Bombyx mori: one gene and its partners. The protein of the gene in region 3 interacts with the protein of the main gene of each other region in a pairwise test. Links are inferred from orthologs where the notes say so. Each region holds a gene or a part of one and is shown on either strand. Other genes may lie near its edges.

Region 1 (6,030 bases), on a different chromosome or scaffold from region 3:
TAAGTGGTTACTGGAGCCCATAGACATCTACGACGTAAATGCGCTACCCGCTATGAGATATAAGTTCTAAGGTCTCAGTATAGTTACAACAGCTGCCCCACCCTTCAAACCGAAACGCATTACTGCTTCACGGCAGAAATAGGCAGGGTGGTGGTAATCAAATCAAATCAACATATCTAATTTGACTGGTGGTAGGACCTCTTGTGAGTCCGCGCGGGTAGGTACCACCACCCCGCTTATTTCTGCCGTGAAGCAATAACGCGTTTCGGTTTGAAGGGTGGGGCGGCCGTTGTAACTATACTTGAGACTTTAGAACTTATATCTCAAGGTGGGTGGCGCATTTACGTCGTAGATGTCTATGGGCTCCAGTAACCACTTAACACCAGGTGGGCTGTGAGTTCGTCTACCCATCTAAGCAATAAAAAAATTAAAAAATATATATATATTTTAATTATAATTTGTATTGAGTAATTTTCCATAACCATGTGGTAGATGCTGTATATATATAACACGACGTTGCTGTAACAGGAACGTGGACGGGTAACAACACGCTGACGTACACGCAGAGCCTGGCCCCGCCCCCCGCCGCGCCGCCCCTGCCCCTCGACGCCCCCGCACATCACCACCACTACTGTAAGTGGCATTGACTGCTGAAACTGCGACACGAGTGGTAGAGGGTGTATTGTGAGCCTGCAACAGAAAGAAACATCATGATAATTTTTCCTTTGAAGCGGTCCTGCTTCCTGATTTGATGACCCGGACGCTGATATTAATACAAATGAGAACTGACCTTATGTCGTTAAGTAACTAGCTGCATAGAGTTTGAAATGTGTATGACTTCCAGTAAGATACTAAGACTCATTTGCGGCTAGATAATACAAGAAAAGACAACAAATCCGTTTAAAAAACAATTGCAACAATATATAACAATATCACATTGAACAGTCAAAAATTTAAATTTTTTTTTCATTGTAACATGACACGGTTACGTGTGAAAGATAAAAAAATACTCCCAGAGCCCCAAACAAGAAAAAAAAACTCAGTCCAATTGGGAATTCATACTGAGTCCATTGTTTGTGCACTCGGATATACAAACTTCTTGACCAACAGTCTAGACAGTTTAATATACATGTCATTAGATACTCGAGTTTTAAAATAAATAATGTAATAAATAATTCAAAAAGGAATTACGTTTTATTGGTTTTTGCATAAAATATTTTTAAACGATGCTTATTTGATATATACATTATTTAAATTACAAAATGTATATTTATAATGAACTGGAAAAGTATAAATTTTACTAATCTAACAGTGTTACCAATTTGTTGTATGATTTGTTTTTGCAGTCAATGGCAACCCCGGTGGCTTACTCTCAAGTCAACCAGCGCCCGAATACTGGTGCTCTGTTGCGTATTTTGAACTTGACACACAAGTAGGAGAAACATTCAAAGTACCTTCCAGTAGACCCAATGTTACTGTGAGTAGAAAATAATGTCTATTTATCATTGATATCAACAATATAGAAGGTGGTTTATCGGGGTCATTGGCTATGGTCCAATTTTGATCATTGGGCAAACACTGGTACACATTAGATAAACTTTGTACATTGTATGCAGATGAAAACAAGGTATGTACATGCACTCAAACTCTTAATGCCAAAAATTTTGGTCTCGAACTTGGATATCACAGACCAATACCCATCAAACTGATGAATGTATAAAATTATCATAATAAAGAATATCATTACAACTAACAGATTTGTGATTGCCTCTACAATGAGCAAAGCCTGTTGAGGTCCGTTGTCATATTATTATCTAAATGTCATATTTAATATTCATTGACATTTTACCCAACCTACATGCTAATAAATTTTCAGCAATTGTAAGATATGCACAGATACAAAACTCAACAATTTTATGACATTTATTTGATATTACTAGACATTCACATTTTGGAGTTTTAAGTTCGAATAATGTTTTTTTAATTTACAGGTGGACGGTTACGTTGATCCTTCAGGTGGGAACAGGTTCTGTTTAGGTGCTCTCAGTAATGTCCACAGAACGGAACAAAGTGAACGGGCAAGGTGATTTTCTTTTATATAGATAGACAAATGTATAAATGCAATAGAAAAATATATCCGATAAGTTATTAGTATTCATTACAGTTTTCTATATGTCGATTATTTAATATTTTATTTATATTTGGGTATACTCTGTGGCTGAATGTTATTGTTTTATTACTACAATCTCAGTAAATGACCACCATTTTACTGAGATTATATTTCATCCCATATCATTTTTCATAAAAATAAGGATATAAATTAAAATAAGACATGACCATGGTCTTAGTTACCAGGTCATAAATTTTCTTAAAAAAATAGTTCTACACTGCCGGTGACACCCATCCATGCGGACTTGCAATATAAGCTGTAGTTTAATTGTCTTTTTGGATTCTATAGACTATTTTCTGATCGACCTTACGACCTTTAAAAGACATTTTTTTTTTATTAAAATTAACACTCTGATTCCAGACTACACATAGGCAAAGGCGTTCAGTTAGATTTGCGCGGTGAGGGTGACGTGTGGCTTCGATGTTTGTCGGATCATTCGGTCTTCGTACAATCATATTATTTGGATCGGGAGGCTGGCAGAGCCCCTGGGGATGCTGTTCACAAGATATACCCATCGGCTTGTATAAAGGTAATTGAGAAATCTGGTTTTTGTAATGGCCTATTTGTACTGGAGTAAACATTGGCATGGAAAGGCGGCCAGGATAGGGTGACCATTTCTTAAAAAAAATAGACATTAAGTTAGGTGCCTAAAGGGGAACGAACTGTCAATAAAAAAGATGTGTGGTGGGGTGGGACACAGGATAGGAACGAATTTCCTTATTATAAAAATATTAATTTTAAGTTCTATTCGAGGTATAAAGAAAACAATTATTTGGGTATACTTCTTTTATTATGATATTTTTATTGATAAAAAAAAAACTACTTTACAAAGTTATCAACTTTATTTTATTCACAATGATTTATAAAAAATATATAATATTAATGTACAGAGAAACAGCTATTTATATGAATAATAATAATAACCGCCATCACGTAGACTATTATCATGTATTAGATACTGTATAGCTATCATACTAAGACTATACATAAATAATAAAAATCTTATGTTACAGAGGCTCTTTCCCGGTTAGGGTAAGGAACTTCGTTCCAAAAAAATGCACTATTTTTGTGTGCACTACTGTTTTAACTTCGCCATTATTGCTTTATTTTTAAAGTTAATTTTGTATGAAAATTTGCATAAAGATAATTTTGTAATCTTTGTATATGAGTAATACTAGATGTGACGCGTTTATTGTATAGTGTTTGTTACGTACAAACATTTCAGGTGTTCGACTTGAGGCAGTGCCACCGACAGATGCAGTCGCAGGCCGCCACCGCGCAGGCCGCCGCCGCCGCGCAGGCCGCCGCCGTCGCCGGACACATTCAGCCGCAACACCCCACCATGAATAAGTGTATGCAACGCCGCAATCATCATTAACTCGTGCTTCCTTCCGTGTTTACTGGTGGTAGGACCTCTTGTGAGTCCGTGCGGGTAGGTACCACCACCCTGCCTGTTTCTGCCGTGAAGCAGTAATGCGTTTCGGTTTGAAGGGTGGGGCAGCCGTTGTAACTATGTCTGAGACATTAGAACTTATATCTCAAGGTGGGTGGCGCATTTACGTTGTAGATGTCTATGGGCTCCAGTAACCATTTAACACCAGGTGGGCGGTGAGCTCCTCCACCCATCTTAGCAATAAAAAAAATCCATATACCATAACTCAGAACATCAACTTCATGTTTCGGAGTGACCTAAGAGCTTGAGTAACCGCTTAAGGTAAGGTAGACACTGACCTCATTTGGTTACCCGATAATAAAAAGCTAGCTATCAATATTCTTCAATCATACACTAGCAAAACTATACTTATTAAAAGAAGATTAATGTCTTAAGGTGGGCGACCTCGTTCGTCATGTGGTGTTTATTTTCTATCAGCCCACCGATGTCCACTGCTGGACATAGGCTTCCCCCAAGCCTCGCCACAAAGATCGGTGACCCTTGGAGAGCGCGTCGATGCCGTATCGAAAGCACTGTGTTGAAGCGCTTTTATGACAGCAATCTCAGTAAATTGTAGATCTGCAAGTTGCGTCCGGTTCAAGCGAGGGAGCTTACCCAAGAAACGATATACATACTCCAGAATGCGGAGTAGCTTGGACCAAGAAGACACTCGCTTGGCCAGCGTACAGAGAAAGGGTTAATTTTTCTAATTGTGCAATCACTTATGCTAATAACAACAAAAATTATACTGGCATTGTTCACCACATACCTAAATTTTGGCAAGGAAATAAAAAATCATCAATTTGAATTTGCTAATTATGGACATTATATATATTGATATCTTTTGACAGGTCTAACTGCGGCCGCCGGTATAGGAGTGGACGATTTGCGACGCCTGTGTATCGTGAGGCTCTCGTTTGTGAAGGGTTGGGGCCCTGATTACCCTCGAACCTCGATCAAGGAGACGCCTTGCTGGGTTGAAGTGCATTTACATAGGTAATTCTCAATAACGAACTATTCTCTTACTAATAATTCTTTAATCTGTTATATACAATCCAGTGACATTTTATGAACCATACATATACACGCTGATTAAATTTGTTTTTTTTAAGGGATTTTATGACCTGGTAACTAAGACCTTTAGGTCAAGTCTTATTTTAATTTTAATGATACGATATTTTTATATGAAAATGATATTATGAATGAAAATGAAATGAAGTTGATTATTATGAAACATGGCATGAAGTGAAATGAAAACGAAATGAAATGGCATGACATGAGATGATATGAGATGAAGTATAATCTCAGTAAAATGGTGGTCATTTACTGAGACTTTTTCAGTGGACTTTTTGGAAGATCCCGAAAAGTTACGTTCAGGGCTTTGTTTCATTTTCCCACATTTGTGCACTTTCACAGATACTAAACAGTTAATAAACCACCACTATTACACAATTAAATCTGAAGAAACACTAACTAGACAAAATAAAACAAATCACACAACTTCACTCCTCGTGTTCCCGCCAAAAAGTCCGATTAAATTTGTTGAAACAAAAGCTAACCTCAAAATCAAAGTCTACTCAAAAATGTATGTTAAAGGGCTTAAACTTCATGTTAGACAGAGAGGAAAATATATTAAATGATGACGTCATTGTGATGTGAAATAAATTGGACAACACTTGCTGTATGTGAAAGGGACAGATCCCTTATGAATGATGACAATGAGTGTTTATTTATTATGATGTTTCCACAGAGCACTTCAGCTCCTCGACGAGGTACTGCACACGATGCCCATCGACGGTCCCCGGTCGACCATCGAGTAGGAGTTGATCGGCTTCTTTTGAGGCCTTCGAGCGAATGTCGCGCAACTGTCGCGCGACTCAAATGTGCAAGTTTGTTTCCGGACGACTTTGTGTCGCGTTCACGTGTAAAGGAATATAAAGTGTTGGTGTTGTGAGATGTACAGTTTTGTGATCGTTGAAAACCGTTTAGTGTTGGTTTAATTTTGTTGCGTTTTTGTTTTTTTTGTGGTGTGTTACAACGGAAATTGTATGCATCGTAATGTGAAGATTTGTACGGTTTGAGTAAATCTCTTAAATTACCAAGTGCATACATACAGCGTGTTGCATAGCAATAGAAATGTCAATTAAACAGACGCAGAGGAACGTTGAAAAGATAAATGTGAGTAATACACCATTCTGATACAATAATAACAAGTTAGTTGCCATATTAATTGTTGTTGATTTATTTATTTTGTATTTTTTTATAATTCGTTTTCGGCTTTGTCTTCCAAAATTCGATTATTTTAATTGTTTGTCTTCCTTCAAATTTTATTTTTAAAATTATTATTTGGAAATGTTCGAAGTATCTGTTGGATCATGAAATGGTTGAAAGTATAAAGATTATATACATTAAAAGCTGACAGTTTAAA
Region 2 (6,642 bases), on a different chromosome or scaffold from region 3:
AACTATGCGCCCACGCAATGAACTTATTTCGGGCACTTCCGCATGAATTCGAATTTGAGACCAACCGTTCGTCGCATACCAACCAGGTCACAACTAGTGTCAAAATGAATTTAATAAAAGTATTGTAGGTTCTTTTCCCTTTTATTTACATAATATATTGGTGAGGTATAATTTTACGCATAATACTTTTTTCACTAGGTACTTAAAAATTTTGTAATAGCAAATCCTCGAATAAGACCATAACATAAAGACGACTATTTCCTGATCATCCTTTCGAAGCAACATCGTATTTCACCATTTGATTCCCTAATTCTTAATCAGTTATGCGTTCCGCTTTAAAAGATGCGAGTAGAGCAGCCGTTACACAATTCAAACTTCGAACTTATGAAGTGGCGGCAACCACGTCATGATTTCTTTGTACTTCGGTAACTACATTACGCCGAATAGGCTGCGAGCTCGTCTGTAACTCTAGAACAGTTTAGTCCTTTTTCTATTTGGTCAGCGAATTAAAACTCCTTAGACACGATTTTAAAATATACGAGGAAATCAAAATATATGTTATATATTTTATTTAAATAACTTAATTAACAAAAATAGAGAGAAAAATACAAATTTAGCAATGCCAAAATTCATTTGATTTTTAAATTTGGGTTATTATTTAAAAAATTGTATTTTTTGTAATTTCACTTAATTTATCTCGACTAAAGCCAAAAATTTCAAATTACAACTTTTTGAACTGTTCTTCAAACGGTTTTGATCTTTCACTCTGACTTTCCCAAAAAGGTTTAGAATCGCTTGATTAGAATTAGTTTCTTAGGTTTACGCTTTAATAGCGCATTTTCGAATAATTTAGTTTTCGTAATCACGGACAACTGATTAAAAAATGTTGATTAGAAGTATGTACTTAGTTGGTGTACTGGGGCCATTATTGGATAGCCCGCCTTCCGAAATTACGAATACTAATTAGTTGACTCCACTTTTTATTAAAAATATATGAGTTATTTAATTCTAATTAATATACTTATATTCACTTTACTTATTATTAACATAATTATTATATTATTATGGCAGAAAAGGATGCACATAATGTATCATGACGTCATTTAGCCTTTAGCTACGAACATTCGAGATAGCGAGATATTTCCCCTACGCACCCACTCTTTCTTGTGCCCATTTTTAAAACGTTATTTGCTATTTTTTCGACTAATTTCGTTAAAACAAAAAAGTATTCATTTAATATGATTTAAGTATTGTTACGTAAATACTAATGTTCGCAAATATAGGAAACTTCTCTATACAGACGCGGACGTCCGGCCGGCGTGCTTCCGGCAATCGTCAGCAGCATATTTCGTACGATCTGCAGAGTTATGTCATGTACAAAGTTTATGTCCACTGTACCATCCTTGCACGCACTCGAAAGATTTTGATAGAAACCGCGTATCAAATGGAGTGTGATAATAATCCGCTTGCTTGTCTGCCAGTTTAATTAAGTGTACGTTAACGTACCCACATTATGTACTTCCGAAAATTAGGTTTAGCTTGAACAATATTTAGGGAAATAGTTCCTATCCAAAAATCGATAATATTTAACCTAAACGTGTATGTAACCACAAATAAATTGATGTCCGCGGTCACGGTCAAACAACATTGGTCGTCTTTATTCTTTAAATTACTGCACATAACTCCACGAAGACCGTCTGCGTGCCGCCGTAGCAGTAATACGCGCTAATGCGCCAGAGCGAGACGAAAGCACTAGGGAGCGAGACGCGGGCGAAGGGAGCAACAGGTAAAGATTCCGAGGCCACTTCCGTCTTGGCTGCCGAATATTTCTGTCTCGAACCGGTAGTGGGACGACAGCCAGGGCACACATAATCTCAACCCACACACACTATACACATACAGGCATATGAGTAATTTCTACACTTTCGTCTGCTCTAGCCTTTAGCAAAACCTATGTATTGAAAAAAGATAAACTTACAACACAGTTGCATACAGAATATTATATACATTCTTACGTAATTATATCAAATATGGGCTATTCGTTCTTATGTTATAGTTCTATGATACATAATTCACATGATTTCAATTTTTGACAACCACCAGAACTTGTAAATTAAAAACAATCAGTATTGCTTTGTTACCAAAGAGTGACTGTAAAATATTGTGAGCTCAGTTCAAACCGGTTAGCATTCGTATTGTCTTACTCAGAACCAGGAAACTGTCGACCGAGACATTTCCTGTGCTTTGTCGAATGAATATTTTCCAAGACGCCGTTTACTGATATGTAAAAACATAGAAAAAAATGAGTTTTAATTGTTTATTCATTTAGATAGTAACAAGTCCGAAAACCTAATGTAAATTAATATCTAATTGAAAAACAAGTCCGGTGCCCGCAACGCTTTACAATGTCACATAGGTATACACAAGGAAATATTGAGAGTTATTAAAAACTGGTGTGCTGACGTAATTCTAATATGTACTAGTATTTCTGCGTGCCTTATACTAACAAATAAAACACAAAGAATGTATCTTCTTTTTACACGGATCTATACAAAATATTATTATTCTACTGCCGTATTTGATAATTATAATTTCTTGTAAAACGACTGATTTTAGAGCATCACTCGGCGCCAAGTCCGATAACGAGTTGCGGAAACATTGCTCGTATGTTTAGTTAAAATGGGACTTGGTCTAGCTACCAAAGTTTTATCTCAGCATGTGAGGTGGCGCGGAGTGATGAGGTATGCGGGGGGAACGGCAGCCGTGCATCCGTCCGCCCGCGCCGCCCTCAGCCGCCGCATCATCAGTCCGCGTCGAAGAGCCGTTCGAAACGCTCGCTTGCGAGTTCGTTCCCTCAGATACGCTGCTGGTTTACGGCGTGCCGTAACACGACACGTTTGGAGGGATCACCGCCGTTACGCGTGTGTCTGGTGCTCTGTGTACACTGAATTCTGTGCTAACTTTTGTGATGATAATGTACGTGTACTGAGTTGTCCAGTTTCTGTTTTCAACAAGGATTTTGACAACGCAACCAGTTCCGGATCAGCTTAGCCGGTGAGTAGCGGTGCTTATCGCAAACTGTGCTATCGTGGACTCACGCATTTCCGACCGCGCCCGATAAGGCGACTGTATAGTGCCTAATAATATGGAATTCGAATCCGGTCAAGATCTTCAATATTGTGAACGTATTTCAAATATCGCAATGAATTGTCAACCCTCCGCTGTTTTATGTAATCTGCGATAAAATAAACAAAATAGGCTTTTTCACACTCTGTGAACTTTTTAAGTTAGTGAATCGACAAAAACTGTACAGAAAACTGCTTTCACATGAATGGTCCAACGGATAAAGCTCGATTGAAAGAGGGTGTCGTCTCGTCGCATACCTACCTACAACCCTAAACAATACTAAAGCAGCAGGTGGCTGTACTTCATTCATAGTTGACACGGGATATTGTTCTTTAAATTGTCATATCAAATCATGTTTTTGTCATATACTTTTCCCTCATCGAAGTTTCAAGTTTAATTTGATTATACTTATAGCTCGATGTTTGTTTTAGTAAATAGTCTTATAAAGGCTATTTATTCGTAATAATACTTCAACTGCTTTACTGACGGGTTATCTCATAAAGATAACTTTTGTAACTTCTTATTTACAATCTTTAAATAATTATGTGTTTATCATTTTTTTTAAAAAACGTTAGTCACGTCAACCTTAGAATAATATTAAGCGAATACCGAGAAATAAGCTTAGACTTTTTTTGATTGATTACTTGGGAGTGATTTGAAATGCTTTTGTCCGTGACATAGACGTGTCAAGACAGGTAAAAAAAACATGATTTTTCCTTAAAATTGCCACAGGCGATACTAGTGAGTTTAAAAAAATGTGCCAATAGCTAATAATTTCATTTAATTTAAATACCCAATAAAATAAAAAAATACAAACCTACCACCTAGTACCATTGTTGACAGTATCGGTGTAACCACAATATTTTAAAATAATAATGTTTCGATAATATTAAAATGTCAACTAAAAATGACGCATAATTTATAACGTTATTTAATCGTAAAAACAAAATACAACACTACAGATGCAACACAAAGAATAAATGAACCTGTTCGTCTATTGGTTAAATTAATCAAACATTATTATTTTATAATCTAACAATTATTTCTAGTAACAGCGACATCTGTGATCAAATAGCGAACATTAAAACGAACTCTTGAAAATCATAATAATATACAGAATACTAACACAAAGTCAATCCTAATGTGAAAATTTGTTTCAGATTAACGTAATGAAAGTTGTAAGCTTACAACTGCCGTCTGGGCCCAGTATGGAGCGGCTACCGCTACCATTCAGTCCAACAGAACTATTATGGCGTTACCCACTACCCTGGGCGCCACCGCCTCCTTCACCGCTTGGTGACACCAAGGCGCAACTGCCAGCCGGTCTTCCGCCAGAACCAAGACTATGGACCAGAGAGGATGTTTCTGTATTTCTGAAATGGTGTGAAAGAGAATTCGATCTACCTAATTTTGATATGGACCTCTTTCAAATGAACGGTATGCATCATGCTTGCTTATGATAACTTTATTTACCTGCATAATATGCAATTCTAAAATAAGTCGATTTCTTGCTTTAATGTTAAGCTAAATAATGACAACCAACAAACGCACTTACTTATATTATGAAACTTTGAATGAAAAATTTGGTTATTTCATTACATTTTTTTTCTTTGTTGACAGGTAAAGCATTATGCTTGCTTACTAAAACAGATTTGGGTGAAAGGTGTCCTGGAGCAGGCGATGTCTTACATAATGTTCTTCAAATGCTTGTACGCGACGCAGCGCTGTTAGGTAGAGTTCCTTCCTCACCTGTTACTCCCACCGCTCGTGCGGCACCGTATCCGCCCTCTCCCCACTCTCATCCACCGACACCAACTTGGACTGTTGATGGTTTCCACCATTTCCACAGCGCTGCAGCAGCAGCAGCAGCTCAACCTAATTCAGTGACTCTCAGTCCTGCTCCATCAGTTGATAGTTCTGGAAGTCCTCAAAGAGGAGACACTGTAACTTATGCGCCAGCGTATGCACCGTCCGTGCCCCCCACTACTCAAGCTGCCAGTTCCGGAAGTAATCATTCAGATTCCGATGAAGAGGGTCAATACGCTCCACCTCCACGTTCTCCTAAAGAAGCTCCAATAACGAGTCCAGCCCCGCAAAATCATCCAACACAACAACATCCTCATTACCGCGCTCAACATAGGGAATTTTTTCCAAATGATATGCCAGAGTCCAATACAAGTACGTATAAATAAAAATTTGTTTCAAAATAAACATAAAACCTTCATCAATATTTATGTATACTTTGTTTTCTTGTAGATGGAAGACTATTGTGGGACTTCTTACAACAACTTCTGAATGACCCAACGCAAAGATACACAAACTATATTGCATGGAAGAACAGAGACACTGGCGTGTTTAAAATTGTTGATCCTGCTGGACTAGCCAAATTGTGGGGAATTCAAAAAAATCACCTATCCATGAACTACGACAAAATGTCCCGCGCCCTGAGATATTATTACCGTGTTAATATTTTGCGCAAAGTCCAGGGCGAAAGACACTGTTACCAGTAAGTACCAGTATTCCAAATGCCAGTATTAAAAATCTTGCAAGAAAATAAGAACTAACCAAAAACATTCTTAATTTACAGGTTCTTAAGAAACCCAACAGAATTGAAAAATATCAAAAACATATCTCTACTGCGACAACAAATGAGTCCCACTCGCGTTGTACCACAAACTTTGGTAAAAACCGAAATGAAAGAAGAAAGATGTGACGAAGAAACAGTCGATGAAGAAATGCCTACAGATTTGAGTATGTCTGCATCAGAGCCTTGGCGGAAACGCGCACGCTCTGACACAGCGACCGCACCGCCGTCGTCAACGCAACATGACAAACATCGGATCAGTACGCTTATCGGAGATAACATGATAATGAAACGCGAAGTCGACTACAGTGCTGAGCATTATGCCTTAAATTTAAAAAGTGAAAAATGTGAACAGTAATCTTATTGAGATAGACTAAGGACACAACTAAAGTGTGACAAAGTTCAATAATAATTGTGGAACCAATTTGTTACATTAACTCGTCTTTTTCCACATAGACAAGATTTAGTCTTCCGGAAGAAAAAAATATCGACGATAACTGCGAACAGTTCGTCGTAGTGTGTTAATACAGTTAACAGGGTACGGACCTTTAAACAATGCCTTTGTGCCAAGTGATTTATTATGCATAAAAGTGTCAATTAACTAACTAGTAAAAGAAATGAGAGATTATTTTATATCGAAGTCATAGGAACTATATTTTAAGATTGTGCAATGTATTAAAACGCCATTTCAAGACCCGCAGTTTTTAAAAATGTCGCTGAAATCAATGTTGGTACTTGTGCATTGCACGCATTGCATTTGTGTAATTTTAATATTATTTTCAAGTATAATTCGCAAACAGAATTCTAGTTGATTTGATTAAAAGAGCTGAAAATATTAGTCATATATGTCTTCCATTGATTCTTGGCAAATAATTTCAAATTTATTATTATTTTACATACTTTCCGCCACAACTACCACATCACAAAAAGGC
Region 3 (5,772 bases):
TTTAATTTAATGAACTGATACTTATTGAACAAAATGAACGTGAAATCTTATTAATTACTCTCGCAATCAGATTAATCAGTAGTTGAAGAATTTGATGTACTCTCCTCTTGATGTCACTCTCCTCACGTACTTCAATAATAAATGATTCGACAACATCCTCCATTAAGCCATCCTTTTGCTAGTAATATTCCTCTAATACTAAGACATGGTTATTATGCTAGTGCTCGCCATTCCTTTCTCATCAAATTATATAGCTTGCAAACAACAATACTTATAAGTGTAAGACTATACTAAAAACACACGTAATTAACATTGCTATCGCAAAATTAAAAACAACGAGTCAGTAAGCGCACTCTCATGTTAAGGTCGACACTAGTAGTGGGAGAGTGCGGGGTATGAAGCGACGGTCGGGCGCGGTGCACGCCCGCCCGCTTCCTCAGCCCACGAATCCTCGGAGCTCGCGCGCGGACTGTAGGTATTTGACTGGTGGGCACTAGGCGAGCGTCAACCATAATTTTTTATGTATTTATTATAATTTGTCAGGCTCTATGTCGTCAGCTACGTATAGCTGGTCATTTTTTATAATTTTAAAGTCGTCATGGCCTGCGGGATAATACGACCGTATGCGGTACCAATTTTTCTGATGAAAAACTTATTTCAAAAATGTTCACGATTGGCTTCCTCGATGAAGAGGATTAACATCGTATAATAATATCAAACTCGCAAAAAATATAATTTGCGTAATTACTTGTGGATTGTGGGTAGGGCGTCTTGTGAGCCCTCACAGGTAGATACCACCACCCCGCCTAATTCTGCCGAGAAGCAATAATGCATTACGATTCAAAGGGTACTTTTTACGACAGTACTCATGTCTGAAAGTGGGTAGTAGCATTTACGATGTTCATGTCTATGGGCTCCGATGACCAATTAACACCAGGTAGGCTGCGAGTTCGTTGACCCACACTGTCTAGAAAACTGCATTTTAGTGCGCGGCGATATGTTGAGGGACCGTCGCATATTCGAAATTGCGGAAAAGGACTAATTGGTTGTTGATTTGAAAATGGGTTATTAAGTGTATAATCTATGGGGTGGGCGTCCCTTAAACTCGTATAACAAAATCAAGTCTTCGAACTCATATCTCTAAGTTAGTCCTGGCATTATTTGGCAAGTTCAATGGGTTCTAATAATAGAAAATACCATATTAAATAGTTTCAGTTATTACTTAAAACTAGTTGGGTCGTGATCGTATAGTTCGCCTGTCTCTCACCTTTTGTATTTTGAGGTGCCTATTCACTACTAGATGGAGGTTTTTGTAGCTAATTTTTAATTATATCTGTCATCAAACTAAATAATGATTGCGTTTAAGCTGGAATAAAACAAATATTTGTTTAACTCCCAACTTTAATGAATATCAGCATGTGAAATGAAATATCTGATGTCAACTAACCATTTTGATAAATAAATAAAGTTATGAATTATTTGTTTTCCAAATAGTTACTCTGAACGGCTGATTAGAAAGCGCTGACTTTGAATAGTGAATGATTGTGAAAATAATCTGAAAAAATTTTAACTTAAAAATACACAGTAAATTGTAGAATTTAAATATTTATTGTTCATTAAGTCTAACATAAGATACAAAAATATTTTAAAATAACATAGATTCGAAATGTAACCGTATATTTTGAGAATTACAGCAACATGTTTGTATATTCGGTTGTAATTAAAATCTTTGATGCTTTTTGCTTGTTAACATTTCTGTTATTAACTTAACAAATAAATAAATACAAGTTAGCCATAAAATGATGAATTCATAATGGCTTCAAAATTTTCCAGAATTAAAATAACTAACATTAGCATAGTGTTGATTTGGTCTGTTATTAAAAACTTGCATTTACTTCAAAATTACTTAAATCTATAGTTTAAACCATCACTGCGTACTGTGTGGATTAAATACTTTTGGAACTGGAAAATACCATGAAGATAATGTTATAGCACAATCTCCAAAATAGCGTAGTGTTGCTGTTTTAATCTCCTGTCTTCACATTTATACTGCTTTTTAGGCAATGGCTTAGCTCATTAACGCTCCATTGTCCCATTCTGATATTTACTCAGCAGCAGCCATTGCACGTGCCTGCGCTCTTACTCGCTTGTCATACTCTAGCCGATTTTGACTGTAACAATAAAATTTTATTTAATATTGAGGCATACAAGTTTTGTAGGTCACAGTAATTAAATATTAGTATCACAATATGTGGATAGTTTCGTGATATATTTTCAGTAATATAACAAATACATATATTACAAAAAAATTCAATTTTTACAAAATTAAACATTATAAAACATAACAGTTCTTTAAATGCAATACGGGTATTGAAAATGTTTATGTTTAACTTACCAATAAATTGTGTAGGCTTCAGCTTGCGCTGGATCTTTTACGTTAGGCTCATTGAGAAGATCTTGAATACCCAACAAAATTTGCTTTATTGTGATTGCTGGACGCCAATCTTTTTCTTCATCAAGCAGTGACAAGCACACCGTACCTGATGGATACACATTGGGGTGGAACAGTGGTGGTTCAAATTTGCATTTTGGAGGACTTGATGGATAATCATCTTTGAAGATCATACGTAGTTTATACAGCCCACCTTCCCATGGAGTCTAAAAAGAAAAACCGGTTATAGTTTTAGAACTTCTACTACCGTAATTTACTATGCTTAAACTCAATAACTTTAAAACTGCATCAATAAGAAACAAGAAGTTTTCACGATATAGAAATACTAACCCCCTTTTTACCAGGTATCGCACATTCCCAAGTCATTAAATTCAATGAACCATCTGGATTCTTCATAGGCCTCGCGACAAAACCCTGAAATAGATGAATAGCTTATTTATTTACGAAAACATAAATCAATGTGTTTTCAACAAACAAAAACTTACAAAGGGATGGTCCTTACGCCAAGCTTTCCGTTCTTCAGCTAAACGTGCACTTGCTATCCCTGACATTTTCTACAAAAATAACTCGATTTATGAGCCGAGCTTCAATCAAGGGCTATTCTTAATGTTGGGCGATAGATTTTACTTATAATCGAGCTAAAACTAGAACGAAATTACAATAAAAATAAATGAAAAAGCGCGAAATAGCGTCCCTTAATTTCAGAGCGGTCGACAAAATTGTAGTATAGACTACAGATAAAAAATGAAAATAATCGATTCACTTTTTTTTCTTTTCTGCTGTAGGAAGTTAATAGTGTTGCTGTTGACATTTAATATTAATTTAATTTTAGCAGTAAAAACGGGTCTTAATTACGACGATAGCCGAAATTCAGTCTAATTAAATGTTTCAAAAAAATTACACAAATATTTATGAGCTGTTTTTAAAATGCAATTAATCTCTCTTTTATCTTTTTTTGCAAATGAAGATACCACAATTAAAATTACTTTTGCGACTTAGGAATGACTCCGTGTTAACGAAAATTGTAAGACCAAAATAGGTATTGGACGAAATGGCTAAGGAAGCCGGACACAATGTAATGCGCCTTCCACCCTACTATTGTCAATGCAATGCCATAGAATCTATTTGGGCGCAAATTAAAGGTAAGGATTTAAATAAATGTATTTAATAATTTATTTTTACCTATTTTAATATTTTATCTGTTGCTATATTAACACGTAAACCTTTATTTTAGATTGCGGCTCGTAAAAATATCGACCCACTTAGGGCCGGATTTAGACTCCGCTCCTGGGCAAAAAATCCGCCCCAATACTGGAATTTTACCAAAAATTATAGTTTATAACTATTTTTTTCAAAATTAAATAAGTAATTTCTTGCAGAAACTTTATCATATGTTATATATTCCAAAAACATAAATAAATATTTGTTTTTTTTCTAACAATTATAAATTTTGCACTAAGGGTGACTCATAAATATTAAATGAAAAAAAAAATTAAATTTCTTTAAGTCCAGAAAATGGAAAAATCGATTATTATTTTAAATGTTCAAGGAAATAAATTGACTAAATAATTTTGATTATGAATTTTTACCTAAAGTGCCAAAATTATAATTCACAAATAATGGATGAATTCAATTTTTTGTATTATCAATTAAACAGAAAATGATTAATTAATAGAATTAATTTCAAAAATTTTACTTCCAAAATTTTGCCGCCCTAAAAAATTGCCGCACTGGGCACTTGCCCCGACTACGCGACTGCCCCTAGTGTAAATCCACCACTGAGCCCACCATTTACTGCAAACAAAATGCTGTCATTGTTGCAAAAAGCTTGTGATAGTGCTACTGCCGCGAATTAGGAAGGTTAGGTTTTACGAACAAAAAATTAGTTTTTCGCTGATTGGAACAGAGACACACATATCGATACCATCATAGATAACCAAATTATAATAAATACCTTGTGTTTTTATCGCCTGAATCCCACTCCCGACTAGGTATCCTTCTGTCGAGGGTGACATTCCGCCCCCGCCTTCACACTAGGACGCCTCTACTCGATGATATGCAGGCGAAGTAAAATGTCCCTTAGAAATAAGGTGACGCTCTACAAAACTTGCATACGCCCCGTCATGCAAGTGTAGTGTTCGCTCACGCGGCCCGCACTCGCTTAAAATCATTCCAAGTTATTCAATCCCGTTTTTGCGGGATACCCGTCGGAGCCCCGTGGTTCGTCAGGAACGTCGACCTCCATGACGACCTGGCCTTAGAGTCCATCAATAAGTATTTGCAGTCGGCGTCGATGCGCCACTTCGATAAAGCGGCACGACACGAGAACCCTCTCATCGTGGCCGCCGGTAACTACATTCCCGATCCTGCGGAAAGAATGGAAAGCAGTCGACGTCGCCCCAAACACGTCATTTCGGATTTTCCCGATCCACTAACGGTGCTTTTACTCAAGCACCGGTCACCGTTCTCGTCGAACCCGTCGCTTGCGACGAAGGGCTCGACGAGTAAATTAAACCTTAGATCAGCCCACTGAGTTTCTCGCCGGATCTTCTCAGTGGGTCGCGTTTCCGATCCGGCGGTAGATTCTGCGAAGCACGGCTCTTGCTAGGGTTCGTATTAGCAACGTCATCAGGCTTGAGCCCCATGAGCTCACCTACTAGCTAAGGCGACGCTGAAATAGCATCTCAAGGCTATCAGCTTAGGTAGGATAAAAAAAAACGCCTGTATAGAAATATCGATTTCGGCTATTGATGATGAATAAGTTCCATCTTGATAAAAATATCATGTAATATTATCTAACTAAATTTAAAAAACAAAGTTTTATTATTGGATGCTAATCCTTTTTCTGTCAATACGATTTTAATTTGTTCGTTAAAGTAATCGAAGATCAATATCGTCGAGTATCGAATAAAGCGGTATTTACTAGTATTTGATATCTGTTAAATGGGACTTCGTAATTGGAACTCCATGGACATACATACCTAGACTTTTTAGCTGGAACGCGAGGACTGAAGTTGTGTGATTTGTTTTATTTGGTCTATTTAGTGTTTCTTCGGGTTGAAATGTGTAATAATGGTGGTTTATTAACTGTTTAATATCTGTGAAAGTGCACAAATGTGGGAAAATAGAACAAAGTCGCTGGATGTAACTTCTCGGGATCCTCCAAAAAGTCCACTGAAAAAATCTCAATAAATGACCACCATTTTACTGAGATTACATTTCATTTAATTTCATCCCAGTTGATTAATGTCTCAAATTAATTATCTTCATTTCATTTCATTCACTCCATATTAACATTTTTCATAAAAATAAGAATTTCA
Region 4 (6,666 bases), on a different chromosome or scaffold from region 3:
AAAGGCAATTGCGAAAAGCCATCCCGTTGGACTGTAGTGAATTAAATAATGTGATCAGGATTCATAGATGATAGTAAAACTTAAAAACTATGTTAGAGTAAACAAAGCTTCTACATAAATATATGTAAAAAAAATGAAATATGATTCTCACTATTATAGATACATTATATTTTAAATTCAGATAAGTTAAAAAAACAAAAATGTACAAGGCAAGAATGAGTACAGCTGGACTTTAAATTCTCTGAATATACTTGTAAATCAACCCTGACTACTGGTGACAAGGTATATAGTTAGTCCGTACAAGTATATACCACCATCCAGTTTAATTCTGTAGCCAAACAGTCATCTGGTCTATTTTGAAGTAGGATATTATCATAATACAATACAATAGAACTTTGATTTAATATTGTGACACTGACTTTTCGTTGTTAGGTCTTTAATTTTTATACATAACACTACACCGGGTAGGTTGTGAGCTCGTTCACCCATATAGGCAATAAAACAAGTATATTATGCAGTTTTGAATTCATTATTATAAATTAGAATAGAACAAAGACCTATGTTAGATTATTTAATGATGCATCAACCGTCACTTCTATAATGTATCGGTGCACAGTTCAATGGTGTACCGTTTCAAGGAATATCTCTAGATTCCATGTGGTGACTTGCTTGATAGATAACCCTGGAGGCAGTGTACTTTATATTCTGTTTCATAAAAATGTTACTTCAATTGTTTTTAAGACAGATGTAATGTTTGAGACGCTAAAAAATGTTTCATGTGATATTTATGTAATTAATACCAAAGATTAAATTATCAACTTTTTTATTAGTTTTATTTTCTGTTTTGCTATTGATAGTACTTATATACGAAGGTCGTCCACCATCTCCTATATACATCAGCAATTCCAGAAGCAAGATAACACTCTTGCTTATCCGTCGGACTCTTAATCAAACCTCTTTTAAATAATATACAGAAATTTCATAGCACTCTGAACGTGGGGCCCTAAAGAGTTTAGAAATGAGTTGATTTTTATAAACTTAATAGTGAAATAAATGTAATGTTCTACATATGCACATTTTATTTTAATTTAGGACCCAAGGTAAAACTGCTATATTGGCATGATAGTGTAGTTACGTTAGGTAAAATAGATCGTGTGGCGCCGCGTGTTGTAGTGTTGACCGCGGGAACCCCCCTACTCTGACCGGGTTTTGACCCCGGATGGAGATCGGACGTCGGGTGTAAGAGTGCAGGGGAGTTGTTTAGTGGGTGGGCACTAAAGTTCCTTGGGCCTGTCTGCTCTCAACACCTGCAGATCGTTGAGTCTCACCTACCCCGCGCGGCACCTAGGCGCGGGGACCTCATAGGAGGTACGGCCCTAGGCTCGAAAAAAAATAATGTAAAATACGATCTATTTTACTTTTTTTTTTTGGCGCAGGACCGATTAGAGTGCGGAGGCTTCAATCTCAGCGGTCCTTGCTGGAGGCGTAGTCTACTGAACCCGTCCGCCGGTCTTCGGACAGTGGAGGCGGTGCACCCAGTCCTCGCGAACTGGTTAAACGGCGACCGAAGGTTTCTCACCTTCCGCTTGACAAAAGTGCTCATCGGTCAGTGGTGTTCCGGCCGGTACCTGCACCGCGTCGCCCTGAGAGAACCAACGATGGAGTGCCTCTACTGTGGCTACAACAATCGAGCACACACGCACTGCCCCGCGTGGCTGGGGCAGTGCCGTATCCTCGTTTCGCAAATAAAACCAGACTTATCGCAGCAGACGATCATAGCTACGATACACGGCACCGGCGAGTCCTGAAAAGCGATGCTCGGCTTCTGCGAGTCCACTATCTCGCAGAAGGAAGCACCGGAACGACAGAGGAAGAGCTCTCCGCACCAGTTCGTTGCCGCCGAGCCAGGGCCTCGAGAAGGCAATTCGCCCGGCTCCGGCCCCGCTAGGAGGCAACCCCGTTCTTTCCGTGAAGGACTTCAGGGGTTAAGACCGCATGGTCTGCTACATGCACTCTTCTAGCGCGCCGCATGACAGCAATTCTACGGTTCTATGGAAGTGCTGCGGAAGATCAAGCGATTTACGGTGTATGGTCTTCCGACCCAGCAGGTTGGTTCAGGTCCAGCAGGGTGTGTCGGCGGCCTGCAGGACTGCCTTATCGAGACGACCGATGTAGAGTCGTCGACTAGCGCCTGGACGGTCCGTCGGTCGGACTCCCTACTTTTCAGTGTGGCAATTGGCTTCTGGCTGTACAGTTTGCTGTGGAGGCTATTTTTGAAAAAATATTATTTTTTTATAAAAAGTAGAAAACCGGAGCGGAATTAGGTGAACTTGGTTTATTTTAAATCGTAATAATTCAGGGTGAAATTAAATAGAATAGAATGAAATGAGACGAAATGAAAGAAATAATTTCTCAATAAAATGACACACTTATGCGCTTTTACAGATGTAAAACTTTTAATAAATTACCTTTATAATTTTATTAAACTTGAAGTTATGCAAAATTAACAACATTAAACTATTTACACAACTGTGACTATAATATATTATATTCCCGCCAAAAAGCTGCGAAATTCCTCTAACCTGACTGTCGTCGTAATGTAGGTAGGTCGGAAATTCTATGATCCAAAACTATCTTTTTAAATATTCGTTCTGCCGTTTTATAGCAATTAATTTATAATAACAAATACAAAAATGTATTTAATCTTTTAAAAATCGGTAAAATATTTTATTAGAAAATAAACGGACTATATAAAATAAGTTTCTGAACGAAAGTAAACATTGATTTTTTTGAATTTTCAAAATGATTTGTTTACATACATACAAAATCGAAAATCGGGTTTTTAATAAATTTTAATTGAGACATAACATAACTATTGTTTATTTCGACAACAAAGTACAAAATTATGTAATACTTATTACAATAGAACGCTTAAAGAGTCCAGATAATTCCAGAATAATGTATAAGCCAATAGATTTCACGAGCAACGGTAAGTTTTTTTATATAAAGATAACTTAAAAAATATTAAATTAAATTAGTGAGAATCATATTAATATTTCGTTTGTTGGGTTTGTCAGAATTTCTTAAGTTAAAAGGCATAACCTCTACTTTTTCCTTTTTATGAATACAATATGCAATTCGATTAAATATGTTCTCAATTTTCAATAACAATTCCATTATATTCCTAGAAGTATGTACCTGTAAAAGTTATTACACGATGAGTTGTTGAAATTAAAATAATGTTTTATATTCGAGCACTAATGATCAATGCAAAATTAAATTTTCAGATGTATTTGATGTTTGGGTAAGTTTTTAAATTAAAAAAAAACAAGTTAAGCCAAAGAACCAAAGACGTAATATCCACGTTTTTATATTTCTCAATATATAATGGTTATCATATCAGATCCTACTAAAATGAAATTTGATTATATTTATTTTGATTACAAACTAAAAAAATTTATTTTTTATTTTTCAAACACAAGTATTTTCATTTGCTATATTGTTTGTCCATGTTTCTGTTAATATTTACTCTTAATGTAAATTCTATCAATGAATCATAAATAACTAAAGTATTTAAAATTGATGATGACGTATGAGTTTGCAAGAAAATCTGTATAATGCAATTTGGTGTACTCCTCATTTATGGACATATCACCTTTTATCATAGTCAGCTTGGTCCACCAGATTTTAAGTAACTCTTTACTACTAAAGCTACTAGTACCATAAAAATGTTAACTGCTCGAATGAACGAGGTAAATCAAAGTAAATCGTTGAAGCTTTGAACTGAAAACAATAGAAGAAAATGCTGTGCGAACTTAGTCGGATATAATAAGTAATTATGAGTTTACTACGGCTTGCTACTACTCAAGGATTTCAGTTGCCATCTTCTACAGTGAGAATATTTTGTAGGTAATTTAGATTAAAAAAAAAAACTGAATTTGTTACACAAAAACATGAACCTGTCAAATAATAACAATAATAAACATTTTTTTCCGAGCATAAATTACAAAAATTAAAGCAACAAAAAATAAATATACATATAAATGGAAAAGATTACTACCGGCTGGGATATGCATAAGAGCAGCTACTCAATTACTAATGCAGTGCCGAGCGTCCGCCGGCAGCACCGGAGTGACATGCCTATCAACATCAGACCGAACGACCATTTATTGCAGTATATCAATAGTTTTCTTGCTTCAAATATCTATAATTATTGTATCAATGCTCAACGGAATAAAAAAAACTACTGATAAGCCTCCTATGACTTAGTAGATACATTCCGACAAGTTTGGGGTTGTGCATAACCAATAATCATATGAGAGAGACTAGAAGCCAGTACAAAAAGGAGGGTAATTTTTCTGAATGAAATATCTCAACTATGCCTGTATGTATTTTGTTTACCTATCTTTATATATCGTCCTTTCGCATTAAATGTGTACAATTTCCAAAAATATTCGAAATTGAGTTAATATGCGGAATCATTTGGCATCACCAGTATTTTTCTCATAAATACTGTCAAAAGAGCGTAGTTTAGTTATTTTTTATTTATTTTTAGTTTACCTATATTTAGACTACCATTAACAAAATTAATACATAATTTTATGTTACTTTAAAAGGCAGATAATGTAACTGTTAAAAAATAAATGTTGCAAAGATGATTAATATTAAAAATATCACATGTTAAACCTTTAAAACACTCTCCTGTAAAATTTGTAAGTTTTGAGATTTGAGATACAGTTGGCTATGACCTTCACGAGAGATGGAAAGTCATCGATCATGTGGCCAGGGGACAACCCTTTAAAATCTAAAAGAAGCTAAGTTTGTGAGGATAGCCCACGTCATTACGGATCCTCCCGATCCATTAACGGTGCTTTTAAGTACCACAAGCACCGTTCACCGTTCCCGTCGAACCCGTCGCTTGCAACGAAGGGCTCGACGAGTGAATTAACCCATAGACACTGCCCACTGAGTTTCTCACCGGATTTTCTCAGTGGGTTGGGTTTCCGATCCGGTGGTAGATTCTGCGAAGCACTGCTCTTGCTACACTCCCGGTTAAAGCCCCGTGAGCACACCTACACGTCAAGCAGAAGCTGAAGTAGCCTCTCAAGGCTGTCAGCATAGGTAGGAAAAAAAGATGATAGTTGTTAATTCAAAAACTATGAATACATTTCTTCGATCAATAATACTACTAGATTCGCGATTAGCGCTTCAAAAGCGGCCCGAAAAATAAGACCACAAATAAATTTGTGGTCTTATTTCAAATTAGTATGGTCCAATCATAGCCAACACTAAGACGTCAAAACGCTGCAATGCGCGTTCAAAAACTGAGTAAAAAACCACCGTAACACCAAGGTTTTGGAAGGAATATCTTTTTTTGGTAAATTTATATTATTAAGTGTTTTTCATAAAATAATAAACACAATTATATTGTAAATAAAACACAATTTACGAATATTGTAATTGTTTGGCCAATGTTTGCAACAAGGCACCAACTATTGTAACAAACATCACCTATTCTTGGACAGGGAATGCATAGAGTAGTTTTGTTATTTTATAATGTTATTTTTGTTTGTAGATTTCCTAGTAGCCCCTTGTCGCTGTGCACAATGGATATATATTGTCGCGAAAGAAAGAGGAGAAGAAATATAGAACTCTTATAAAAATTCTAGAATTGTTCAATGGTGGTGGCAAATCAATGCAAAAAAGTATTAAAAAAACTTTATATGTATGTGTAAATATTTTAAGCGTATATGCTGAAAAGGATTTGTTTTCTGGGGGAAACGAACACAGCCATAAAATAAGCCTAAATTAAACTGATTATAGAAAAATTCATTGATATAAGATTACATTATATTTGTAAAAAAGAAACCGCTCATATAAAAATGACTTCTAAAAGACAGCTTTATAACAAACTGAATCTGTTTAAAGTTAATTAAACCTACATTATTGTTTTAATTACTTCTGTATAAAGAATACGTGGAAAACATGTTTCGTGTTTCCTTTCATATTTTTTTTACTTTATTCAATTTTATTTTTTATCACCTATTTGTTGTAATAGCGGCAATGTAAAATATTATCTACTACTTTTTTGAATCGGTCAAAAATAGTTGCGACCATACAAAACAAACCTAAAACAAATATGTATATTCTGCAACTCTATGTCTTTCAATACTTACTGTGTTCTGAGCATTGAAATGTAATACCAAGAACTACATCTAGTTTCACAATACAATAAGCACGAAATTTTAAACAAATATTTTTAACCTTATAAATTAGGCTTTAAGTATCATTTTAGAATAAATATTTTTGTACTGATGACTTTTTATGTTCAAGTGACATTTTAAATTTATTCCATAATATTCTTTTTCTGACGAAAGGACCTAAATACATATATTTTGCAATGGTAATTAAACTTTATGTTTAAGTATTAAGGTTTATAATAAACTGAAGTCGTTAACATTATTAAACTTTTTTCTAAGAAATGAAGATGTTTTCGTGTCTGCAAACGTGGCCACGGGAGCGTCTTATTTTTGTTCCTGATCCGTAATCTAGTACTATTATTGATCGAAGATACATTTTGACGAAACTTCACAAATGTTTATTCCTGTCAAATGCCTGTTTAACAGGCTATAATGTAGTATGATAGTTGTTCGATAGATGGCGCGC
Region 5 (4,917 bases), on a different chromosome or scaffold from region 3:
ATTAGAAAATTTAATACGGTGGTTATTTACCTTTACATTACGCAGTTCATTTTAACATAAATAAGATTACAATTCAAAAATCGGTGTATGTGCGGTGTCATAGAATAGCAGCACCGCCCCATCTCATCCCATGGGTGTTGTAAAGGTTGTCTAAGGATGGTTCAACGGAGAATGGTTAAGTGTTTTTTAGTAGGTATCATACCAAACTGACCTATGATCGTTAACTGGCGTTCCCTGGGTTGGTTGTGGGGCCGTGAGCTCGTTCACCTATCTACGCAAAAAAATGTAGTTTGCGTATTAATTGGGACATTAAGCTCACATCGAATATGTAAGAGAGCACTGGTAAGTAAAATAATTATATTATTTATTTTAGCAGTAAAACATTAATGGGGTTTGGTGGTTTGAAAGATGTTTATAGAATACAATTTGAATTTCGAGCTCTGCCCATATCCCAGGTGTTGTTATTCATATCTTAGCTTGTGCCTATATAGTTTGTGTTTGTGTCAGCCGCTTACGTACCTGCCTATCTGTTCACCTGTGCCCCAGATATTACTTGAGCTCCTGTGCTACTCTAGAGTTCGAACAAAATGTAATTTTTATCAATCATAGAATTAAAATTTTTAATATATACATTTTAAGTATTATTATATAATATTTATAATATTTACATTTGTCCGAGCCGTAGCACAGTACGGATCTCTCCGGAACGTTGTTACGCTCCTCGTGAAATATACGCAGTTCTCGTGAAGTTTTAAGTATTAATTAAGATCTGAGGTCGAGACTTATCTAGGTTGGATTAACCAGGAGCCGAAGAGCGCATGATCAGAATTGTATCATTTTCACAGTTCGATGTCGCTTCAAATTTAGTATCTGTTAACGTACCTATATAAAAAGTGAAACAAAATCTGTGGACGTGACTTTTCGAGGTCTTCCAAAAAGGTTTTGGAAGTACCTAGTACATTTCTATATGTAGCAAACGCCACCAGTTGCTGTAGAGTAATTCCATAATCCACAATAATTCCTTTGAAGTTTCAATAAATTTTCACAATATGACAGGTCATTTTAATTTAATCACAGCTAATTTAAATTAAACAGTTAAAGGTGTGACTTTCATTTGGTTTAGTTCTTTAGGCTATATTCCCTTTGCCTGTTTAATTGAACAAGTGGAATTAAAAAAAAAGTTTAACAGATAACCTAAGAAAAATAATCACACATTTATTGCTAGGTATGCCTCTTTAAACAGAATATTCACAAAAAAATATGAACCAATAACAAAATGCGTGATACTTGTTTATCGAATTGTGAAAAGAATTTCATACAAAAGATCGTATCTCAAGGACATGTAAGTTGAAACTAATAGAATATAACCTAAGACTCTTCTACAAAAGTAATTTGGAAATAAATTGATTACAGCGCTTGGACGGTCGAAATTTTAATGAAACCCGAAAACTAGATATATCATTTGGTTCTGAATATGGTTGCTGTATTGTGTCTTTGGGAGAAACGAAGTAAGTTGGAACTGAATCACTAACAAATTGTAAATAAACAAAGTAAATGAAGCAGTATATACTGTTATTTTTGTATTTAAACAGCGTTTATTGGATAGATAGAACAATTGAAGGATATAGAGAAACAAATTCAGTAGACCTGTCTTGTATTCTTAGATTGATTTATTTTGTTATTAATTTAACCACATCTTGAAAATGTTAAAATGATATTATGTAAATAAACTTGAATGAAAAGTAAAAAATCGTTAACATAAAAGAATACTATCACAGAATATTGGATAGAAATTTTGCAATACAATTAACTGACTTCATGTCTTAAAGTGAGTGTCTTTGTGATCTGTGAACCAGCACAGCAACAAGGAAATGCTCCATTGCTCATTAATTAACAGTTTTCAGATATGATGAATAAGAGAATAACACCTAAACTTTAAATGAATTTGTCCTAAAATTGCTAAAGCCTTATGAGCTACTTACTTATTTATGAACTTGACCTAAAGGGTAATATTAAGCTATCAATATTAAATGACTACTATCTTAAAATTACATTGGTGTGGGATCCCTAGTGCCCAATGAGATCTGTAGAATATGAAAAATTGTTTTCATTGGTGGCATTCACTGGAGTTGGGGGACATGGGTAACTAAAAAGTAAATTACTCAATTTCAGGATCCTATCAGAAGTCACATGTGAAGTCGCTCAGCCAAAACAAATAAGACCAAATGAAGGCATCATATTTATTAATGTTGAACTTAATCCTATGGCCGCTCCACAGTTTGAAGCCAATAGACAAACAGATCTCACTGTTTATCTTGTAAGATTATTAGAAAAATGTTACAAAGATTCAAAATGCATAGACCTGGAATCACTCTGCATTGTAGTAGAAGAAAAGGTAAATTTAAAAAAATCTTACCTTAATAGATCTAGATGTAAGCAATTCTGTATGCCATATGGACAGAATTATTTCACACTATGATGTTTTCCTGTTTTGTAATTATTTCCACTATTAATTTAAAATATTTCTAAAGTATTTATTTCCAAACTCTAGATAACATTTGTAGTAACTTTTAAATATCTGAAGATAGGCTGCAATGTAGGCAGTGGGTGTGGTGTCTTCCGTCTAGCCTATTTCTGACCAAAGTGCTTCTACAATGCTTCTGTTTTAAAATGAGCCCTCAATCTCATGTCTCATGGTGAGTGGTGCCATTCACATTATTTCTATGGAGTGGGGTAAGTATTTTATATGTTAGGCCAGGGATTCTGGTTGTGAAATCATAAATTAACTCAATTTTGGAGGTTGATGAGCTCTAAAAACCGACCCTCTACTAATTAAAACAACTTCTTCTTTGGATGTTAGTATTTTGTATCAATAGAAAAAAACTACAAGGCTTTTTAAAGTTATTCAGAGGGTCTGAGTTATCAGTTCATTTTGGAAAAAAGGGTTATCTTGCCAAAAATAGTTTTTGTGTAGCTTCATGCTATAATAAATGGAATCAGAAACTACTACTTACTATTCTTACATATATAACAGTTTTTATAAATTATCAAAGTAGTTTACAAACTAAGTTTTAACAAATATGTAATTACATTATTGACCGCAGTAAACAAAAATTTTATGTTTAAATTTCAGGTTTGGTCTTTAAGAATTAATATTAAAGTTCTAAACCATGATGGTAACTTAACTGAATGTGCAAGTATAGCTACACTTGCCTCAATAGCACACTTTAGGAGACCTGACTTTACAAGAGATGGTGACCGAGTGATTATTCACACATTAACTGAGAAAGACCCAATACCAACAGTTTTGTATCATTATCCTGTGTGTACAACTTTTGCATTGTACAGTAATGAGTAAGTTTTGAGAAATTACAAATGTTCTTTTGTATTGATTAATTAGAAGGCTCGAATAAGATGTAGAATTGCTGTCTGCTGAACCATGCCAATCAAAAAGAATGACTACTTTTTAGCAACACATGTTTAATCTGACTTAGAAGATTAAAACATTGTGTGAGCTAGATATTAAAGCTTACATTTTTATTTATTTCAGTATCTTACTCACCGATCCTAATTTCCTGGAAGAATCAGTGTGTACAAGTAATACAGAGGAAGGCATCAACACTGCAGGAGGCCTCCTGGTTTTGGGAATGAATCAATATAGAGAAGTATGTTTACTTGATTTGACAGGAGCTGCAATATACACATCTAATATAGTTCATAAAGCGCTTCTGAGTGCTGCAGACAAATGTAAAAAATATGTGGAAATTATAAAAAATGCCGTTGCCAAGGATGACAACTTGAGGTGATTCATTTAATTATTTATGTATTTTTTGTAAGAGGGGAAATACGGTTTATTATTATAAAATTTGGTTAAATTGTCCTCCAAGTGTTTACTGAGGAAATTACCCGATCTTGTGTACCGAATGGTAAACAGTCGACGTCGCCCTAAACACGTCATTTCGGTTTTTGAGGTATCTTAAGCACCGCACCATTCACCGCCCTCGCCTGAACTCGTAGCTTGCAACGAAGGGCTCGGGGAGTAAATTAACCCACAGATACTACTGCACTGAGATTCTCACTGGATCTTCTCAGTGGGTGGCGTTTCCGATCTGGTGGTAGATTCTGCGAAGCACTGCTCTTGCCAGGGCCAGTGTTTGCAACTCCGGTTTGAGCCCCGCGAGCTCACCTACATGCTAGGGTAATGCTGATATAGCCTCTCAAGGCTAACGGCATAGATAGAAAAAAAACCCAGGAAAGCAGGTTTAAAGCCAATTTGGTCCCTATACCTTACTAGATCCATAGTCCTCGTACACTATGAGTTATTACTTGTGCTTCGGTAACTAGTTATCATTAGCTAATCCATGATCATAAATCAATATATGGTTATTCAAAAATATAATACTTTTTTTTTGTGTTCATTTTATTTAATTTACTGTCCCTAGTCTGTAATTAAGGTTAATGTGAGTATAGCCACATGAAATGAAATGTCAAAGCATGTTAAAGCATTATTTATGAAGCAGAAACAAGGAATAAAATTTTTGTTTCGATAGAAAAATGTTATACATGAGTCGTCTATTATCAAAGGTGGCAATCTGTGCATTTGGACAATTTTTTTTTATTGATATGTCAATTCAGATTGATTTGAATATAATCGTCTCCTTCAAAGAATACGGTTCAAAACCTGCATTAAATAAAGGTTAATAGTTAACCTGTTATTTATCTAAGATGTCGTTCCAAAGAGTTTTGTGACTGCCAATGGAATACAAAGTCAATAATTCGTTTTTCTGATTTACCAATCATTGTCCAAAAGTCAGATTGCCGGCTTTGATAATAGACGACTCACATAACAACAATGTGTAATAAAACAAAACAAAGAAATAATTTATAAATATTCCCTTAAATATCATTGAATTTAGC

Evidence for each region.
Region 1: the proteins of ubiquitin-conjugating enzyme E2 (region 3) and mothers against decapentaplegic homolog 4 interact in binary tests that used the Homo sapiens proteins (3 or more experiments, as listed by UniProt). The link is inferred for Bombyx mori from reciprocal best matches to the Homo sapiens genes UBE2I and SMAD4.
Region 2: the proteins of ubiquitin-conjugating enzyme E2 (region 3) and BmEts2 interact in a two-hybrid assay, tested with the Homo sapiens proteins (2 studies listed by BioGRID and IntAct, with this or other methods). The link is inferred for Bombyx mori from reciprocal best matches to the Homo sapiens genes UBE2I and ETV6.
Region 4: the proteins of ubiquitin-conjugating enzyme E2 (region 3) and double-stranded RNA-specific editase Adar interact in a two-hybrid assay, tested with the Homo sapiens proteins (2 studies listed by BioGRID and IntAct). The link is inferred for Bombyx mori from reciprocal best matches to the Homo sapiens genes UBE2I and ADARB1.
Region 5: the proteins of ubiquitin-conjugating enzyme E2 (region 3) and exosome complex component RRP45 interact in a two-hybrid assay, tested with the Homo sapiens proteins (2 studies listed by BioGRID and IntAct). The link is inferred for Bombyx mori from reciprocal best matches to the Homo sapiens genes UBE2I and EXOSC9.

What each region holds. Positions count from the first base shown.
Region 1 is NC_085113.1:9,079,294-9,085,323, reverse strand, and holds part of mothers against decapentaplegic homolog 4, read left to right. Parts: intron 1-528; coding exon 529-633; intron 634-1,346; coding exon 1,347-1,477; intron 1,478-1,991; coding exon 1,992-2,083; intron 2,084-2,530; coding exon 2,531-2,699; intron 2,700-3,395; coding exon 3,396-3,522; intron 3,523-4,453; coding exon 4,454-4,598; intron 4,599-5,352; coding exon 5,353-5,422; 3' UTR 5,423-6,030. UniProt on the Homo sapiens protein: In muscle physiology, plays a central role in the balance between atrophy and hypertrophy. When recruited by MSTN, promotes atrophy response via phosphorylated SMAD2/4.
Region 2 is NC_085119.1:10,452,074-10,458,715, reverse strand, and holds BmEts2 (ets DNA-binding protein pokkuri-like), read left to right. Parts: upstream 1-3,014; 5' UTR 3,015-3,054; intron 3,055-4,286; 5' UTR 4,287-4,295; coding exon 4,296-4,563; intron 4,564-4,746; coding exon 4,747-5,304; intron 5,305-5,382; coding exon 5,383-5,632; intron 5,633-5,713; coding exon 5,714-6,068; downstream 6,069-6,642. UniProt on the Homo sapiens protein: Transcriptional repressor; binds to the DNA sequence 5'-CCGGAAGT-3'. Plays a role in hematopoiesis and malignant transformation.
Region 3 is NC_085114.1:7,030,409-7,036,180, reverse strand, and holds ubiquitin-conjugating enzyme E2, read right to left. Parts: upstream 3,171-5,772; 5' UTR 3,004-3,170; coding exon 2,938-3,003; intron 2,867-2,937; coding exon 2,783-2,866; intron 2,659-2,782; coding exon 2,396-2,658; intron 2,172-2,395; coding exon 2,105-2,171; 3' UTR 1,594-2,104; downstream 1-1,593. UniProt on the Homo sapiens protein: Accepts the ubiquitin-like proteins SUMO1, SUMO2, SUMO3, SUMO4 and SUMO1P1/SUMO5 from the UBLE1A-UBLE1B E1 complex and catalyzes their covalent attachment to other proteins with the help of an E3 ligase such as RANBP2, CBX4 and ZNF451.
Region 4 is NC_085130.1:18,135,205-18,141,870, reverse strand, and holds the start of double-stranded RNA-specific editase Adar, read left to right. Parts: upstream 1-2,687; 5' UTR 2,688-2,958; coding exon 2,959-2,989; intron 2,990-3,287; coding exon 3,288-3,304; intron 3,305-6,666. Other genes in the region: pofut2 (protein O-fucosyltransferase 2 precursor), read left to right, coding at 1-45. UniProt on the Homo sapiens protein: Catalyzes the hydrolytic deamination of adenosine to inosine in double-stranded RNA (dsRNA) referred to as A-to-I RNA editing.
Region 5 is NC_085119.1:13,152,157-13,157,073, reverse strand, and holds part of exosome complex component RRP45, read left to right. Parts: 5' UTR 1-342; intron 343-519; exon of another isoform or gene 520-571; intron 572-668; exon of another isoform or gene 669-759; intron 760-882; exon of another isoform or gene 883-1,113; intron 1,114-1,225; 5' UTR 1,226-1,276; coding exon 1,277-1,342; intron 1,343-1,413; coding exon 1,414-1,508; intron 1,509-2,172; coding exon 2,173-2,395; intron 2,396-3,133; coding exon 3,134-3,354; intron 3,355-3,550; coding exon 3,551-3,802; intron 3,803-4,917. UniProt on the Homo sapiens protein: Non-catalytic component of the RNA exosome complex which has 3'->5' exoribonuclease activity and participates in a multitude of cellular RNA processing and degradation events.